2 linked regions of the Saccharomyces cerevisiae S288C genome follow. Each later gene encodes a partner of the first gene's protein in a complex. Each region holds a gene or a part of one and is shown on either strand. Other genes may lie near its edges. The genes, in order: TRM82 and TRM8. A codon is read from its position in the direction of its gene.

Evidence for each region.
Region 2: the proteins of TRM82 (region 1) and TRM8 are in contact, whole or in part, in a crystal structure (PDB 2VDU), measured with the Saccharomyces cerevisiae proteins. Residues at the interface, in NP_010449.1 of Saccharomyces cerevisiae: Asp172 (codon at 2,407), Glu189 (codon at 2,458), Leu192 (codon at 2,467), Gly193 (codon at 2,470), His194 (codon at 2,473), Val195 (codon at 2,476), Ser196 (codon at 2,479), Asp208 (codon at 2,515), His210 (codon at 2,521), Asp219 (codon at 2,548), Glu220 (codon at 2,551), His221 (codon at 2,554), Lys223 (codon at 2,560), His226 (codon at 2,569), Gln229 (codon at 2,578), Cys230 (codon at 2,581), Phe231 (codon at 2,584), Ile232 (codon at 2,587), Val233 (codon at 2,590), Asp234 (codon at 2,593), Lys235 (codon at 2,596), Trp236 (codon at 2,599), Phe238 (codon at 2,605), Gly239 (codon at 2,608), Lys241 (codon at 2,614); in NP_010080.1 of Saccharomyces cerevisiae: Tyr69 (codon at 2,294), Val71 (codon at 2,300), Ser72 (codon at 2,303), Pro73 (codon at 2,306), Met163 (codon at 2,576), Lys164 (codon at 2,579), Phe165 (codon at 2,582), Pro167 (codon at 2,588), Asn168 (codon at 2,591), Lys172 (codon at 2,603), Asn199 (codon at 2,684), Thr200 (codon at 2,687), Leu201 (codon at 2,690), Ser203 (codon at 2,696), Glu204 (codon at 2,699), Tyr207 (codon at 2,708), His235 (codon at 2,792), Pro236 (codon at 2,795), Leu237 (codon at 2,798), Thr282 (codon at 2,933), Pro283 (codon at 2,936), Ile285 (codon at 2,942), Leu286 (codon at 2,945).

Annotation. Positions count from the first base shown.
Region 1 is NC_001136.10:782,978-786,705, forward strand, and holds TRM82 (Trm82p), read left to right. Parts: upstream 1-1,893; coding exon 1,894-3,228; downstream 3,229-3,728. Other genes in the region: SEC1 (Sec1p), read right to left, coding at 1-1,238; exocyst subunit SEC5, read right to left, coding at 3,329-3,728. UniProt on the Saccharomyces cerevisiae protein: Required for the formation of N(7)-methylguanine at position 46 (m7G46) in tRNA, a modification required to maintain stability of tRNAs; its absence resulting in tRNA decay.
Region 2 is NC_001136.10:97,472-101,235, forward strand, and holds TRM8 (tRNA (guanine46-N7)-methyltransferase), read left to right. Parts: upstream 1-2,089; coding exon 2,090-2,950; downstream 2,951-3,764. Other genes in the region: ACK1 (Ack1p), read right to left, coding at 1-482; mitochondrial 54S ribosomal protein uL10m MRPL11, read left to right, coding at 1,004-1,753; MGT1 (methylated-DNA--protein-cysteine methyltransferase), read right to left, coding at 3,030-3,596. UniProt on the Saccharomyces cerevisiae protein: Methyltransferase that catalyzes the formation of N(7)-methylguanine at position 46 (m7G46) in tRNA, a modification required to maintain stability of tRNAs; its absence resulting in tRNA decay.

The sequences.
Region 1 (3,728 bases):
ATAATATGCTTTATCTTCTCACCACTAAAATCCATTCCAAATCCGGATAGGTTTTGTTCAATAGCAGAAATATCCGCTAATTTTCTTTCCGCGTTCTCTCCTAGGCATTCATCTACCAGTGTCTTATGCAAAATCAGCCTTCTTCTTTCTTCATCAAAATCTTTCAGGTGCGCTACGACACTCAGCAGATCGGTAGTATTCTTTACGTTCGATCTATCAACCAGCAGAGGGTTTTTAGCAATCAGTTCCTTGATTCTTCCTTGAATATATTCGTTGGCATCCATAATATGCTGATGTTTCAAATCAATCCAGTCAGGATCATACAAATCTACCAATTTTGAAACCTTTTCCTCTTGCTCACCAGCTTCATTCTCGGCAGAATAATGATATATATCTTTTTGTGTGTCCACATTAGCTACCAGGTCATAAGCCATTGCTTGATAGCTAAAATCATGTAATATTGGCGCAAAAGGGTCCAGTGTTCTATCGGTGATTATTAGAATGGAACGCGGTCTTTCAGTGTTTTGAGGAGGGAAATCTGGATTATTGCGAGCGTATGTATCTATCGCTATTTGGAAAGCGTTTGCAATAGACCTTGTTAAAGAATTTGCGTTGACTACGGCGTTTCCATTGCGGGCATCTTCCTCTTCCACAGGATTAGATACAGAATATCTAACAATCGGATATTCCCCCGTAATAACACACAAACTAACTAGTGAGCCTACAATCTTCCTCACGTTAGTAGGAATCAAAGCCTTACAGTTGTTGTTGAAAAAAACCTGTAATGAGTGTTCCATTTGTAAAGTTTCGAAGAATTGAGATTCTTTGACGAAAAACCCTAGTTCGATCGGCTTAAATGACTCCAAATTTTGAGCAATGTAACGTTTTGATTGAAAAAACTGAAATATAGGGTTTGTTAATCCTGGTAAAAATCTGATGTGACATCTTCTGTACTTAGGTGGTCTTACCATGAAGTCAGCATCGATACAATTGATGTTATATTTCGTTGGTTCCAATATGTAAATTGCCTCGATGGAGGATTGTCCTTTTCTTGTTGGGGAATCAATCAAATCAACAGATGTGACATTATTTAAAAGTTCTTGGGGTGTGAGGAAAAGATAACTCAATATTGTCTCCACAGTTTTATCGATAATAAGAAACTTCAAGTTATTTTTCGTCTCAATCTGATTCAAAACCCCTATCAAATAGTTCCTCTGTAATTCAATTAAATCAGACATCGTTCCGCCAAACCAAGCATGTGCACACTCTTCTACTTTGTCAGTGGATTCTAATTATTTTCAAGGTCTTACAAAGCAATGTCTTACTAGTTTCAATAGGGACTTAAACTGATCGTTTAAGCAAAAGAAAAACACCGTGCTGTGTGACCATCTACCAATAATTGCGAGAACATAAGACGACGCCGCCATTCACCTCTCTATCACTTACACCATGTTATAGGGATAAGTGTGTAGTCGATCGGCTATTCGATGATTTTTAAAGAGTGCCTGTAATAATAGCTGTATCGCAAGTAAGGAATACAAGATTACTGATATTTTGATCCAGGAGGATGGACATGTTAGATAGAAAAACTAAGAGGGCTACTACATCCGGTTTAGTATTCTGTTATTGGGAATGCTTTTCCCAAGACGCAAGCAAGAGGTGACACATAAACATAGTTTTCTTATTGTATCGTTACATATTCTTATTTTACGCTGCTGTCATTAAATATGGCACTTATCTCAGATACATTTCTTTTAATCAGCGAAAAAAATGGCGAGGTGAAAAAAATCGATGAGATGAAAAAATTTTTTACTAGTAAAGGCGTATTGATGATATATTAGCAGCTAAAGTATAGCAAGGTTTGTCAATTTGAAGCAGTCCGCGTGTTTTACAATGAGCGTCATTCATCCTTTGCAGAATTTACTCACCTCTCGTGATGGCTCATTAGTTTTCGCCATCATTAAGAATTGTATCTTAAGCTTCAAATATCAATCGCCAAATCATTGGGAATTTGCTGGAAAATGGTCTGATGATTTCGACAAAATTCAAGAATCGAGAAACACCACTGCTAAGGAGCAACAAGGACAATCCAGCGAAAACGAAAACGAGAACAAAAAATTGAAAAGTAATAAAGGCGATTCCATTAAAAGGACAGCAGCCAAGGTACCATCTCCAGGTCTTGGCGCCCCACCGATATATTCGTACATAAGAAATCTGAGATTAACTTCGGATGAATCAAGACTAATTGCGTGCGCAGATTCTGACAAGTCCCTCCTAGTTTTCGATGTCGACAAAACTTCCAAAAATGTCTTAAAGTTGAGAAAAAGGTTCTGCTTCTCAAAGAGACCGAATGCTATTTCTATAGCCGAAGATGATACTACAGTCATAATAGCTGACAAATTTGGTGATGTATATTCTATTGATATTAATTCTATCCCGGAAGAAAAGTTTACTCAAGAACCTATTCTCGGTCATGTCTCTATGTTGACTGATGTACACTTGATTAAAGACTCTGACGGTCATCAATTCATAATTACAAGTGATAGAGATGAGCATATTAAAATTTCGCATTATCCCCAATGTTTCATTGTGGACAAATGGCTCTTTGGTCATAAGCATTTTGTTTCTTCCATATGCTGTGGCAAAGACTATTTATTATTAAGTGCAGGTGGTGACGATAAAATCTTCGCTTGGGATTGGAAAACTGGTAAGAACTTGTCTACCTTCGATTATAATAGTTTGATTAAACCTTATTTGAATGATCAGCATTTAGCACCACCAAGATTTCAAAATGAAAATAATGATATTATTGAATTTGCAGTTAGTAAAATTATAAAGTCAAAGAACCTACCGTTTGTTGCGTTTTTCGTCGAAGCTACAAAATGCATAATAATTCTGGAAATGTCCGAAAAACAAAAAGGGGATCTTGCACTAAAGCAAATTATAACTTTTCCATATAATGTTATCTCATTATCCGCCCATAATGATGAATTCCAAGTCACCCTAGATAATAAGGAATCATCTGGTGTGCAAAAAAATTTTGCCAAATTCATTGAATATAACTTAAATGAGAATAGTTTTGTCGTGAATAATGAAAAATCAAACGAATTTGACAGTGCCATCATACAATCAGTACAAGGGGATTCTAACTTGGTGACCAAGAAAGAAGAAATTTACCCGTTATACAATGTTTCCTCGTTAAGAAAACATGGAGAACATTACTCGTGAAATAAAAAGGTAGTAAGTACATCTTTATAACTAATATAAAAAAAGATACGTACCGATTTGTGTTAATAATCATTGTTAGTACATCTTTATACCTCTGTTTCTAGCTGAAGGCGGCGAATTGAATAGCAGTTCTTTTTAAATTGGCAGATACAATAGGATTAATCTCATTGATACATTTTTGTAGTCTATTTGTGTCGTTCTGGAAACAGTTTTGTAAGCACGCCCTTAATGTGGCCTCGGTGTCCTTTTCAAGTAAAGGACCCATAACCTTCTGAAAGAATTCCAAATCCACTATAATTTGTAATGAGCCATCATTAGAAAGATTACCAACATAAGGCTTAAATGCCTCAAAGAGGTATCTGGCTATAAAAATCTGCGTTTCAATTAAAATCTTATGGATGAGCTGAGGCCCAATTCTAAAGCACTCACTGTGAACCACGATCAGAATCATTAACGCTTCTATAATATAGTCACCAACCCTGAATGAATTTGATGTATAC
Region 2 (3,764 bases), 690 kb from region 1:
GATATTCGATTTCCACTGCTTATTGATGCATCTTGTACAGCTGGTGAACCCAAACTCTCTTTTGTAGAACTAAAATTGAAAGGAAGTTCATACCTACTACCAGTACTGTTGGTGCCATTATTGGCATATCCTATTTCACCTGTTGGCTTGGAATTAAAAATGTCCATGCCGTTATTACTATTTATGGTTACTGGAGTGCCTAATTGACCACCATCAGCATTCCCGTCTGTGAAATTCAGCGCACTCAAAGGCAGCGATAATGATGAGGAAGATGAAGGGGATGTAAAAGGAATAGCTGGTGTGAGTTCAACGATAGAGTCATCCACTGGATAGGGTGCAGGCACTATATTTTGAGCTGGCAAACCATGCCTATCCGAATTGGCATTTCCCAATTTATGCGAGGACTCCCGCGCCCTTGCTGGTGGAAACATGTTAATGTGTTTGTCATAGAGGTTAGGTTGCGGTTGGCCCTGATTAACCATTGCCTACTGTATTAAAACAAAGTATTAAAACGTGGTGGTACACTCTGTACAAAAGAATAGAAGGAAATGAAAAGAAAACGGAGTTAAAATCTACTTCATAAAAAGAGACGCTTCCAAATCCAGTCTCTACCACGTTCTTGTATATAATTTGAGCAACTCAAATTAAATTACCGGGATATCTGCTTATTCTACAAGCCATAGCATCCAGTGCTAAGGTTCATCTCAAGCCATCTTCAATACACTTGATAATTAGTCGTCAATTTTAAAATTAGGTTTCGTTCTTGAAGGCACTTAACCTAAGCTTTTTACTATATGACCTATTAAACAAGTCTTTTTCATAGTGTAACCTAACGTTTATACACTAATAACCCTAGGGCTTAGTAGAGATTCATACAGAAAAAAACGTAGAGTTATAGCAGTAAACTGAGAAAAGAAAGAAGGTTAGTACAATTGAAGAGTAAGGAAAACAAAAGCTTTAGACCTTATTGGAAGTGCTTGGGCGCGGAGTGTGATTATAAATAATGTTGCAGCTAAGGTTTATGCCTGGATGGGTCCCCAGAAATGGTTTTTTTGGTTTGAAGGAGACAATTGGTACAGTACATAAGAGATTTTATGCTCTGGCTTCTGAACAACCCTCAAGAAAGACAGTAAAGCCGCTGGACTCGAGGAAGACGTTTCTCATCGATACATACAAGCATTTAATGGAGAACAGTTCTATGATTTTTTTTGTCCATTACAATAATCTTTCCAAAACAGAAGATCACCATTTCAGATTCAAGATTAAACAGACAGGAGGGAAACTCACAAAAGTAAGAAACAACCTGTTCGAAGTCTACTTGAGAAATTCGCATCTGCCCGACCCATGTGGATTCGTGAAGCGTAAAGAGCAAAACTGGAAACATCCACTCTTGCCACTACTGAAGGGTCCTACGGCCACAATTACATACGAAGACACCAACCCTCAACAAGTAGCCAAGCTATTGAAGGTTCTGCAGTCAGCACAAGACAAGCTGATGGTGATTGGTGCAAAAGTAGAAAACGAAGTTTTGAATGTGGAAAAAATAAACACTTTTAAGACTCTCCCCACAAAGCCGGAAATGCAGTCGCAGTTAGTCAGCGTTTTGCAAATGCTAAGTGGGTTGGGTTTGGTTCGTACGTTGGAAAACAGTTCAAATGCATTGTATTTAACACTAAAATCTCACAATGACAACCAAAAACCTAAAGAGGATGTGGAGTCAACTACAGATGCAGAATCGAAGGGATCAAAGTAAAAAGAAAATGCCCGTAATTCGACAAGTTTTATAAAGGTTTTACTATTCAATCATGTACATACATCATCAAAAAATAAAAAGACAATGAAGCAATAACGGTAAATATACTTTAGTCTATGTATTGACGTCAAAATTACCTTTCTTTTACCTTTCTTACCTTTTTACATATCTCAGCGACCGTTGAAAAAAAAAAAAAATGAAAAATTTTGGTGATGACTTCAGCAAAAAATTTCAGGATATTTCTGACATTTCACTTTATTAAAGCGCCACAAAAGCTGGATTAGTATAGATTCAGCAGTTCCCATAGGATAAAATTTTCAAGCGTTTATTGTTAAGATGAAAGCCAAGCCACTAAGCCAAGATCCAGGCTCCAAGCGTTACGCATACCGTATAAATAAGGAAGAAAATCGTAAGGAGTTGAAGCATGTAAAGATCAATGAAAGTTCTTTGGTGCAAGAAGGCCAAAAGATCGACTTGCCAAAGAAGAGATATTATCGTCAAAGGGCGCATTCCAACCCATTTTCAGATCACCAGTTAGAGTACCCAGTATCTCCCCAGGATATGGATTGGTCCAAATTGTACCCTTACTACAAAAACGCGGAAAATGGACAAATGACAAAGAAGGTGACGATTGCTGATATTGGCTGTGGATTCGGTGGGTTGATGATAGATTTATCACCAGCCTTCCCTGAAGATCTTATCTTAGGGATGGAAATTCGTGTGCAGGTTACAAATTACGTGGAGGATAGAATTATTGCCTTAAGGAACAATACAGCTTCAAAACATGGATTTCAAAACATTAATGTCTTGAGAGGTAACGCTATGAAATTCTTGCCCAACTTTTTTGAAAAGGGCCAGCTTTCTAAAATGTTTTTTTGTTTCCCCGATCCTCATTTCAAACAAAGAAAGCATAAGGCAAGAATTATCACTAACACCTTGCTGAGTGAGTACGCATATGTTTTGAAAGAGGGCGGTGTCGTGTACACAATTACAGACGTCAAAGACCTGCATGAGTGGATGGTAAAACATTTAGAAGAGCATCCTTTATTTGAACGGTTGAGCAAAGAATGGGAAGAAAACGATGAATGTGTGAAAATAATGAGAAATGCCACAGAAGAAGGTAAAAAAGTGGAAAGAAAGAAGGGTGACAAGTTCGTCGCTTGTTTCACAAGATTACCAACGCCAGCCATATTGTAACATAGATGTATAACTAGAACAATTTACCACATATACATAACTATTTCTTATGTTTATTTTCCTAAAATCCTTTATCCAACTACAATCTACTAAGGCTTAAGCTATTTTCCTTTTCATTATTTAATAACTGTTCTTTCAGTTTACAGCTCCATTTATATCCGGTTAATTTTCTATTGCTACCAACGATTCTATGGCAAGGTACTAACAATGCCAGGTTATTTGAGCCGCAAGCTCTTCCGACAGATCTTGCGGCAGTTGGCTTCCCTATTCTCTTTGCAATATCACCATATGTTACGACGTGGCCGTGTTCCACGTTTAAAAGCTCATTCCAAACTTTACGTTGAAAATCTGTTCCAAACAGGAACTCAAAGGGAATAGCGCCCGATGGTAATGGCATTTTGTTTTCTAAACATATTGTATAATTTTCGATTGATTTCTTATATGTTTCTGCCTCTTTTAGTTCCTGTAAATCGTACATTGTATCCTGTTTCTCATGTTTCTTCAAGAAGCCTTCCACCTTTCCCAATAAAAAAAGCTTATCATTACCTAACGAGGCAAAAACAAGGTTTTGAGTCTTTTCCCTAAACACCAAAAATGCACCAGTCACTTCAGTTTCAATGAATGTATAGTAAAGCAGTTCCTTCATCGTTGGTCCATTTAGATCAAAAATGCGACCGTTTTCAATTTTTTTTTTGTGCATATGCTATATCATTACTTGATTAATCTTCCTTGTTTCCACCGCATTTTAAATGCCCTGCCAGGCCAATAGCGCCGTGCCTTTTTTCTAATGACTATAATAAGAATATGTATGTAG